2 linked regions of the Coturnix japonica genome follow. The protein of the gene in region 2 interacts with the protein of the main gene of each other region in a pairwise test. Links are inferred from orthologs where the notes say so. Each region holds a gene or a part of one and is shown on either strand. Other genes may lie near its edges.

Region 1 (4,254 bases), on a different chromosome or scaffold from region 2:
GCAGCCCTTGGCTATCATCCCCCCTCTCACAGCATAGGAAGGAAAAGTTTCAATCCCCCTTTTCCCAGCTTTGGGATTGCTCCCACCTCAATGATATAGGGGTTGCTTCCTCGCACAGCATAGTGGAAAACCGTCTCTCCTTTCTTGTCTGTAATATCCACTCGTGCGTGGCATTCCAGCAGCTCCTGCAGGCAGGTCATGTCTCCCTTATGGCACGCCAGGTGCAGCGGGGTGCAACCATCCTCACTGTCTGTGCTATTCACACAGCTGTAACAGAAGACACAACGTTACAGCGTAGAGAGGCTGCAAAGATGAGGATCTACCTCTGCAAAGACCTACAGCCCTACAATGGACCCTCCTCCTGACACACAGCCCCAACAACGCCAGGCCCACAGGAGATTGCTCTGCACCCTCACCTGAGTACACGGTTGTGTCGGAAGGTCTCGTGCAGGCCAACCTCCACTGCTATGTGTGCAGAGGACCAGCTGGGATGGTTGCGGATGCAGTCACTGAGCTGCTGCAGAACCTCCAGCGACAGGGGCTGGGCTGAGCTCTCATAGAACGGCCGCAGGTGGCCGGCATAGTGCTCAAAGCGCACCAGGGCTTCTGCTTCATCGTCCAGGTGGAAGAGCCTGGAGGGGAGAGGTAAACACAGAATCATTAAGGCTAGAAAAGACCTGTATGATGATGCAGTGCAACATCAGCCCATCCCCACCGTGCCCACTGCCCACGTCCCTCAGTGCCACATCCCCACGGCTCTGGGACACCTCCATGGACAGTGCCTGCACCACCTCCCTGTGCAGCCCGTTCCCTGCAGCCCCGCTCCATGGGCCCTCGCTCAGTGCCGCGCAGTCAGCGCAGCGCCCAGCACGTACCGTACGGCCACGGCCGGGCTCTGCGGGTTGAGCAGCACGGCGTCCCAGCCGCGGCCGTTCCCGTAGAGCCGCAGCCGGCCGTCCTCCCGCAGGGGGCCCAGCCCCGAGTACTGGGCGGCGGGCAGCTCCTTCACGCGGTACGGGCTGCCGAACGCCTGGCTCAGGAGCCGCCCGAGGAACTGCATGGCGTGCGGCTGCACGGCCCGGCCTTCACACAAGCACGGAGCGCTGCGGGCCTACGGCGGCGCTGCGCTTTTGTACCGGCCAACCCTGACGGGAAGCGCCCGCGGGGACTCAGGGGAGCCGAGGCCCGCCAAGGCCCGCCACCCTCACTGCCCCCAGGCCGGACCAATCAGCTGCGCCGCTCCCGGGGAGGAGCCAATGGGGAGGAGCCAAAGGGGAGGGGCTAATAGGTCTCCCTCCCAATGAAGGGTGGGCGGGTTGTTGACGTTTGAGCCGCGCGCCGCCATCTTTGAAAAGGTCGGAGAGAGGGCGGGGCGGGGCCGGGCTGCGGAGGGGCGGGGCGATGGGGGGTGACGTCACCGCATGACTGTGTTTTTATGAATGAAAGGAATCCGCGGGTGAGTAATCGCGCGGAGCTCGGCTGGGAGCGCATCGCATCGCCGCACCCCACAGCACCGCACGGGGCACGGCCGGCACTCGGCACAGCCGGCACACACGGCACAGCCGGCACACACGGCGCGGCCTCCGGTAAGCGGACGGCGGGGTCGGGAGTTTCCGGAGCGGGGCGGTCGGTGGGAGCTCGGGGATGGCGTCTGACCCCCGGCCCTGATTGCATCAGCTCGGCTCCTCCCGTGCTTCGCCCCCCGCCGGCTCTTTGGAGAGGGCGGGGGAAGGTGGTCCGGAGTTGGGGCCGCTTCGGGCCCTGCGCCCTCTCTTCTCCTCTCGTAATGGCGGAGGGGAGAAAATATCGGCCTCTCCCGCCCTCACCTCTGCCCCAAGAAAGCGGCAGAGTGGCGGTCGAGGGGTGCAGAAGGGGTAAGTGGCTCTCGCCCCCTCCTCCTCCCCTCCCAGCGCTGCTGAATCACGGTGAGACGGCGCCCGCTCGCCCGCGACGTGGCCGCGGCCCGCACCCTTCGACCCCACCGCGAGCCCCGGCCCTGCCCCTATATCCCCCCCCCCGCCCTCCTCCGAGGGAGCTCCCCTCGGCCCCATGGCACTGCGTCTCCGGGGAGGGCCTTCCCACGTTGTTGTGGTTTGTGTGCTATTATTATGGGCTTCGCATAAAAGAGTGAGGTGGAGCTGGGCGGGGATCGGCATCACCCGCCGTGTTCCTTTGCTGGCACTCAGCCGCTCTTGGGCGTTTTGTAGGGCCGGTACGGGACAACCATGGCTGCGGATGGGCTGTCCAGCAAGGCGCTAAAGGTGAGTACTGGGGAGAATAAGAGCTATGGGGGGGACCGAGCAGTAGGGTCTGGCATCAGGAGGGGGATGGCACCGGGAGTCCAGCATGAGGGATAAGCATTGAGGAGGTCCAGCATGGGAAGCTGGCAGTAGGGACTCCAGTATAGGGGACTGGCTTTGAGGTGCAGCATGCGGGAATCACACTGGGGAGGTCCAGCCTCAGGGAGCCCCAGAATGGGGAACTTGCACTGGAGCCGTAGCATGGGGGATTGGGGGCGGGTCCATCACTGGGGATCGGTGCTGGGGAGGTCCAGAACTGGGGATTGGCATTAGGGATTGGTATTTGGAGGTCTGGCACTGGGGGTTGGCATTGGGATCTCACCTGCTCCTCCACCCAACAGGTGAAGCGGGAGCTTGGAGAGAACACACCGCTGCTGTCGGATGAGGAGTTGATGGGGCTGTCGGTGCGGGAGCTCAACCATCACCTGCGGGGCCTTTCCAAGGAGGAGGTGGCGAGGCTGAAGCAGCGACGACGGACGCTGAAGAACCGGGGCTACGCTGCCAGCTGCCGGGTGAAGCGTGTCTGCCAGAAGGAAGAGCTACAGAAGCAAAAGATGGAGCTGGAATGGGAGGTGGACAAGCTGGCCCGGGAGAATGCTGCCATGCGCCTGGAGCTTGATACTCTCCGTGGCAAGTATGAGGCCCTGCAGGGCTTTGCCCGCACTGTGGCTGCCCATGGGCCCCCTGCCAAAGTGGCCACTGCCAGCGTCATCACCATCGTCAAGTCCGGTGCCAACCAGGCTGCCTACTCCTAGTGCTGGCCCCATCCCTCGGCTGGGCACTGTCCCCCCCAGGGCGCCTTCCCCTACATACCGACTCGAGGCTCTCCTTTGCTGGGAGCTGCACCCCAAATCCTTCCCTCTGGTCCCCCAGACCTCTGCTTGTAGGGAGGACTGCCACCATGTGTGTACCGGGTGGACAGCACCTTATTGGAGATCCCATGGGGGAAGCCCAAAGCCCGGTATTGCCCCATGGTCCCATCCCTTGCTGCATCAGTGGGTGCATGCAGGAGGGGATGAGTCCGTGTGAATGGATGGAGGCAGGGAAACACCTCACAGCTCCAAGCTGGCAGGAAAACACGGTGCACCCTATTTTTGGGGGGAGCTGAGTGCAGGGCAGGCGCTCCCAGGAGCATGTGCCAGAGAATGAACTGGGGAGGGAGTTTTGCAGAAGGATGAGGATGAATGGGGTCAGCACTGGCCCAGTGAAAAGGAGTGGAGGATGGTAAGAGAATGTGCAGGTCCGGAGGGGAACAGAAAGTGGCTGCAGGTTGGGGTGAGCGGGATGGCATAGCGCTGTGACGGCGATGGAGGGGGACCCTTGGGCAGGGGGCATCTGGGGGCTGTGAGGCAAAAAGGAGATGTGGAGGGGCTGTTTTCTCCCCATCACGGATATCCTTCATGCGTCTCTTTGACCTAAGTGGGACACTCGGCCCAACCACGTGCCTGGAACACAGGCAGAGGCAGGAAGGAAGCAAAGGCAGCTGGAGTGCAGATAACTGCTGTTTTGCTGGGATGGCCCTGCCAAGCCCTGTGCTCTGCTGGCTCCAGGGCTTAGGCTGCAGAGAGCGAGGAGTCAGAGGTGTATGGAGGGCAGAGCATCCCACTCCTGGGAGCTGCCTGGCAGGCAGCTGCTTCTCCCTTGGGTTTTCCTCCAGCTTGGACACCAGCACAGAGGTCTGGGCATCGTCACGCCAGCCGCCCTTGGCTGCAGCCTCCGTCCCTACCCAGAGAGGTGCCCCCCAAAGGGCACTGTGTTAGCATCCCCTCGGCCCCGCTCCCCCTGGGTTTATTTATTGCACGAACGTAAGTTATTTTCACGTCCTCTTTGCCATTCCACCTCTCGGCACAGCCAGGATGTTGGTACAGAGCCGTACTTTATATTTTATATATGCAAATCACATTTTATCTTATATAGAGCAAAAAAAAAAAAAAAAAAACCAACAAAAAAAATA
Region 2 (3,645 bases):
ATGATGATCAAATACAACGAGTCCAGCGGAGGCATAAATGAAACACTGTGATTTATTTGCCCAATTTTTCATCTCTTATAACTTCACAAGTCACAACATTCTTTCAACAAATGGAGCCCAGGTTCCACAGAGCGCAGTGCTTGGCCATGGGGGTATCTTTTTCCATCACCTCAGAGAGAACAGCAGTGACAAAAGATGGCTGCTGATCAGTCAGAGATGCATAATGAATTCCAATAATAATTAGTGAAAGGTATACAGAATTTATTAGTTGGAAAAAATATGTAATGCTGACACTGCTTTTAATTAAACAGATTCTAATGCCTTTGGAGGAGATCTCATCATGAGCTTATCAATAGTGTTCTGAGAGCAAAACAAATTATATTAAGATAGTATAGGCCTGAAACAAATTTGGCACACAATCCTTCCAAATGGTAGTTAAAATTATGGTGACCATTAATAATGCTGTGTGATATGTCTCTGCTTGTTAAGTGTATTTTGTTGCATGAAGACTTATCCTTGGAAAACCAGTGAGGGTATCTGAATCAGCATATAACCTACTTCAGGGAAATAAATGCCTATGGTGTAAAAAATAATAATAATAATAATAATAAAAAGTTTAATGAACTGGTAAGATGAATCAAAAATCAAACAATGAGTATCAACTTGACACTAAATTAGAATCATATATTAAATATAAAGCATTTATAAATGCATAAGAAAAATCGGAAACAAACGCTATTGCATTTCTTTTCTTTTACAAAAGAGTAAGAAGCCATTCTGTTCGTATTGCAAGAAATTACATTTAGGAGGCTAGAATTATTCTTATATATCAAATCTATGAATATAACAGGAGATAAGAACAGTATATAAATACGGTATCTTTAAATATTTACACATGTATGGAAACTAGTTGAAGTGGTGCTAAAAGAAGGAAATACCTGTTATAAAAGTGAGATTACAAATTTGCATACATACATCTGCATTACACTATTAGTTTTGAACTCGCACCTTTCATAAACTTTACTATTAATTTTCAAATCATCATTGCATAGAATTACTTGAAAAATATTACCTAATTCTGCATTCCACCTCACAGTAAAAGCTATTAGGTTAACGATACAAAAATAGTAACTCGGAGAACACCAGCCAGCCGTGCTGCTCTTCAAGCAGTTCAAAGTTTAGTCTCTGCCTTCCTGCTTTTGGGAACAAGGAAGATATTGCCATCTCTAGTTTGCTGCAGTGAGTATTCACTAGGAGAGTAAGACTTTCCATCTTCATCGCGCAGCATGCTGAACACCTCAACATATAAGGTGGTTAATTGCTTTTTCATTTGACGAAGGCTTTTGTCATTCTCTCCTTTTTCTTTCAGCAATTTCTCCCTCTCATCTTTTAGGTGACTCAAATCTTGCTCCAGTTCCACTATATTTTCCAGTTTTCTCTTTCTGCAGTTTTGAGCAGCCACTTTATTCTTGCCTCTCCTGCGTATATCTCGAATAAGTGCAAGCTGGGCTTCGCTGAACTGCTCCTTAGACATCATTTCGTTAAAGTCATCAACAGGGAGATTGATGATTTTTTCCACTGGAAAAGGGATCTGCAGAGCCTTTGCTCTTTGCTCATCTCTTGTGAGATGAGCTTCAAGACGGCCCGAAGGCTTATCTTTTGTGAATGGAGCTTTAGGGTGACCTGGGCCGGCAGGAGGGTCTTTCTTTGGTGTGTTCATACGTTGTAAGCTGGATTTTTGAGTGCCTGGCTCCACAGAAGGAAGTACCTGATCAGGGAACCGCAATGAGTACACACTAGCATTGCTCTGTGGCACGCTTCCAGGAGAACTGTCCATGTCTTCCATTTCAGAATCACTACAACCCAAAGTCTTATCTCCACAGGTAGATGATTCAACAGAGTTCTCAGGTGATGCTATACTAGAATTTGCATTCAGTGAAATACCAGAGTCGGAATCATTACACTCTAGTACAGTTCCTGAGTAGTCATCATTAAAAGCTCTCCACAGCGGGAAATCAGAAAGATCAATAGGTTCACTTAAAATATCTGCAAGTGATTGACTGATAGTGTTTGTCGTTACTGTGTCACTGTCCCCCTTTGCGCATATAAAACTGGTATAGAAATCCTCACAGAAATCAGAGCTCACAGTTGATGTGTTATTTAAAGAGTTGACGTTCAGCTGGCTGCTGTCTTCTGGCTGCAAAATGCTGGAAAAAGGACCCTCAATGTTCTCCAGGAAATCTGGACCACAGTTAACATCTTTTCTCATGATGGGTAATGAGTTGTAGTAATTATAGCTGTTGTGCATCTCTGCTGGCTTGGTTTCAGGGCTTGTGATTGTGCTCACTTCAGCCAGGTTGTCATTTTCAATGTTTAAACACTACATGGGAAGCGTAAGAGAGGGGTTGAGCAACACAAGACCAATTGATCATGAAATATTTTTATAGAATTCATAACTATTAATAATTTTAGTCATTAACAAGTACATGGGGTATTGTAATACTGCTGTAACCTAGATGAATACAACATAATTGCACTATGGGGAGACAATCTAGGAAAAAGAACAGATATCTAAGCAGAGTATGAAGCAACTTATCCTGGACAAAGCTATTTGGAATACGACAGCAAAGCCTCTCAAATTCATAGCAAGGTGATAAAGAAGAGATCCATCCCAACACACTGATATATGGAAACTGCCCTCCTGTTCTACCAAATTCTAGCGGGGATTCTGGAGCTGTCAGGTCTGAACTTCTCACAAGCATCCCTGCTAGTAATGCTCCACTTCAGTAAATTTAAGATTACTGAATGAGGCTTACTCAGAACTCATAGCAAACTATTTTTAGCCATCTTCAATTTTATGTGATGATTTCTTTTCTTTGAAAGACAAAGATAATTTTAGGATTCACTGAATTGCAAAGAAATATAATTCTCTGGAAAGTAAAAAATTAAAAAAGTGTGAACCCTTATTAATGTTAACTCATCCCACATGCTTCTAGGAAAGCTGGCTAACATTAGTGTGAGTGTCTAAGATGATTACATAGATCGGATTTCGTTGGCTACAAAACCAACATTCTTTCCAAAAGTGGCAGTTTCTTAACTGAAGCTGAAGTGTTCCTGCTGTCCCCAAAGAATTAAGCAACTACTGCAGTGTTTCTGTTTCTCTTAAGGGGGGTCCACACACTGACTATATAACCAGAGAGCATACAAAGCTTAAGCTAAGGCTTTGAATGTGAGAGCTCTTTTATTCCCTTTCAAACATACTTTGTAGATCACAATAGCCTCAATTTAATTATCTCAATCAGAAGATTATTCAATCACTATACAGAATTAACAGACAATTTAGGCTTGGTTTCTTAGTATCTTTTCAGCTGCCTCTTCAAAGGTAGTCCTCCTTGTTACCTATGTAGGGACTTTTAGGCATGCCAAAGTAGTAAAGTTTAAGAAAATGAAAAAAAATGAAGAAAAATGAAGAAAATTTTGAAATATAGAAAAATAATAGGGGAAAAATTAGAGTTACAGGCCATATAAGGTTCCTACTATTGTTGGGGTTTCCCCCCTTTTTAAACAGTCAAAACTAGATAAAGGAAAGAGAAGATTAAAAAAAAACCAACTAGATGCCCTCTATAATGTACAACTCAGTGATTT

The links. The genes of interacting proteins can lie anywhere in the genome.
Region 1: the proteins of NFE2L2 (region 2) and MAFF interact in binary tests that used the Homo sapiens proteins (3 or more experiments, as listed by UniProt). The link is inferred for Coturnix japonica from reciprocal best matches to the Homo sapiens genes NFE2L2 and MAFF.

What each region holds. Positions count from the first base shown.
Region 1 is NC_029516.1:46,518,789-46,523,042, reverse strand, and holds the start of MAFF (transcription factor MafF), read left to right. Parts: upstream 1-1,410; 5' UTR 1,411-1,586; intron 1,587-1,644; exon of another isoform or gene 1,645-1,874; intron 1,875-2,207; 5' UTR 2,208-2,225; coding exon 2,226-2,261; intron 2,262-2,641; coding exon 2,642-3,055; 3' UTR 3,056-4,254. Other genes in the region: PLA2G6 (85/88 kDa calcium-independent phospholipase A2), read right to left, coding at 87-267, 417-632, 876-1,060. UniProt on the Homo sapiens protein: Since they lack a putative transactivation domain, the small Mafs behave as transcriptional repressors when they dimerize among themselves.
Region 2 is NC_029522.1:14,074,723-14,078,367, reverse strand, and holds the end of NFE2L2 (nuclear factor erythroid 2-related factor 2), read right to left. Parts: intron 2,381-3,645; coding exon 1,172-2,380; 3' UTR 34-1,171; downstream 1-33.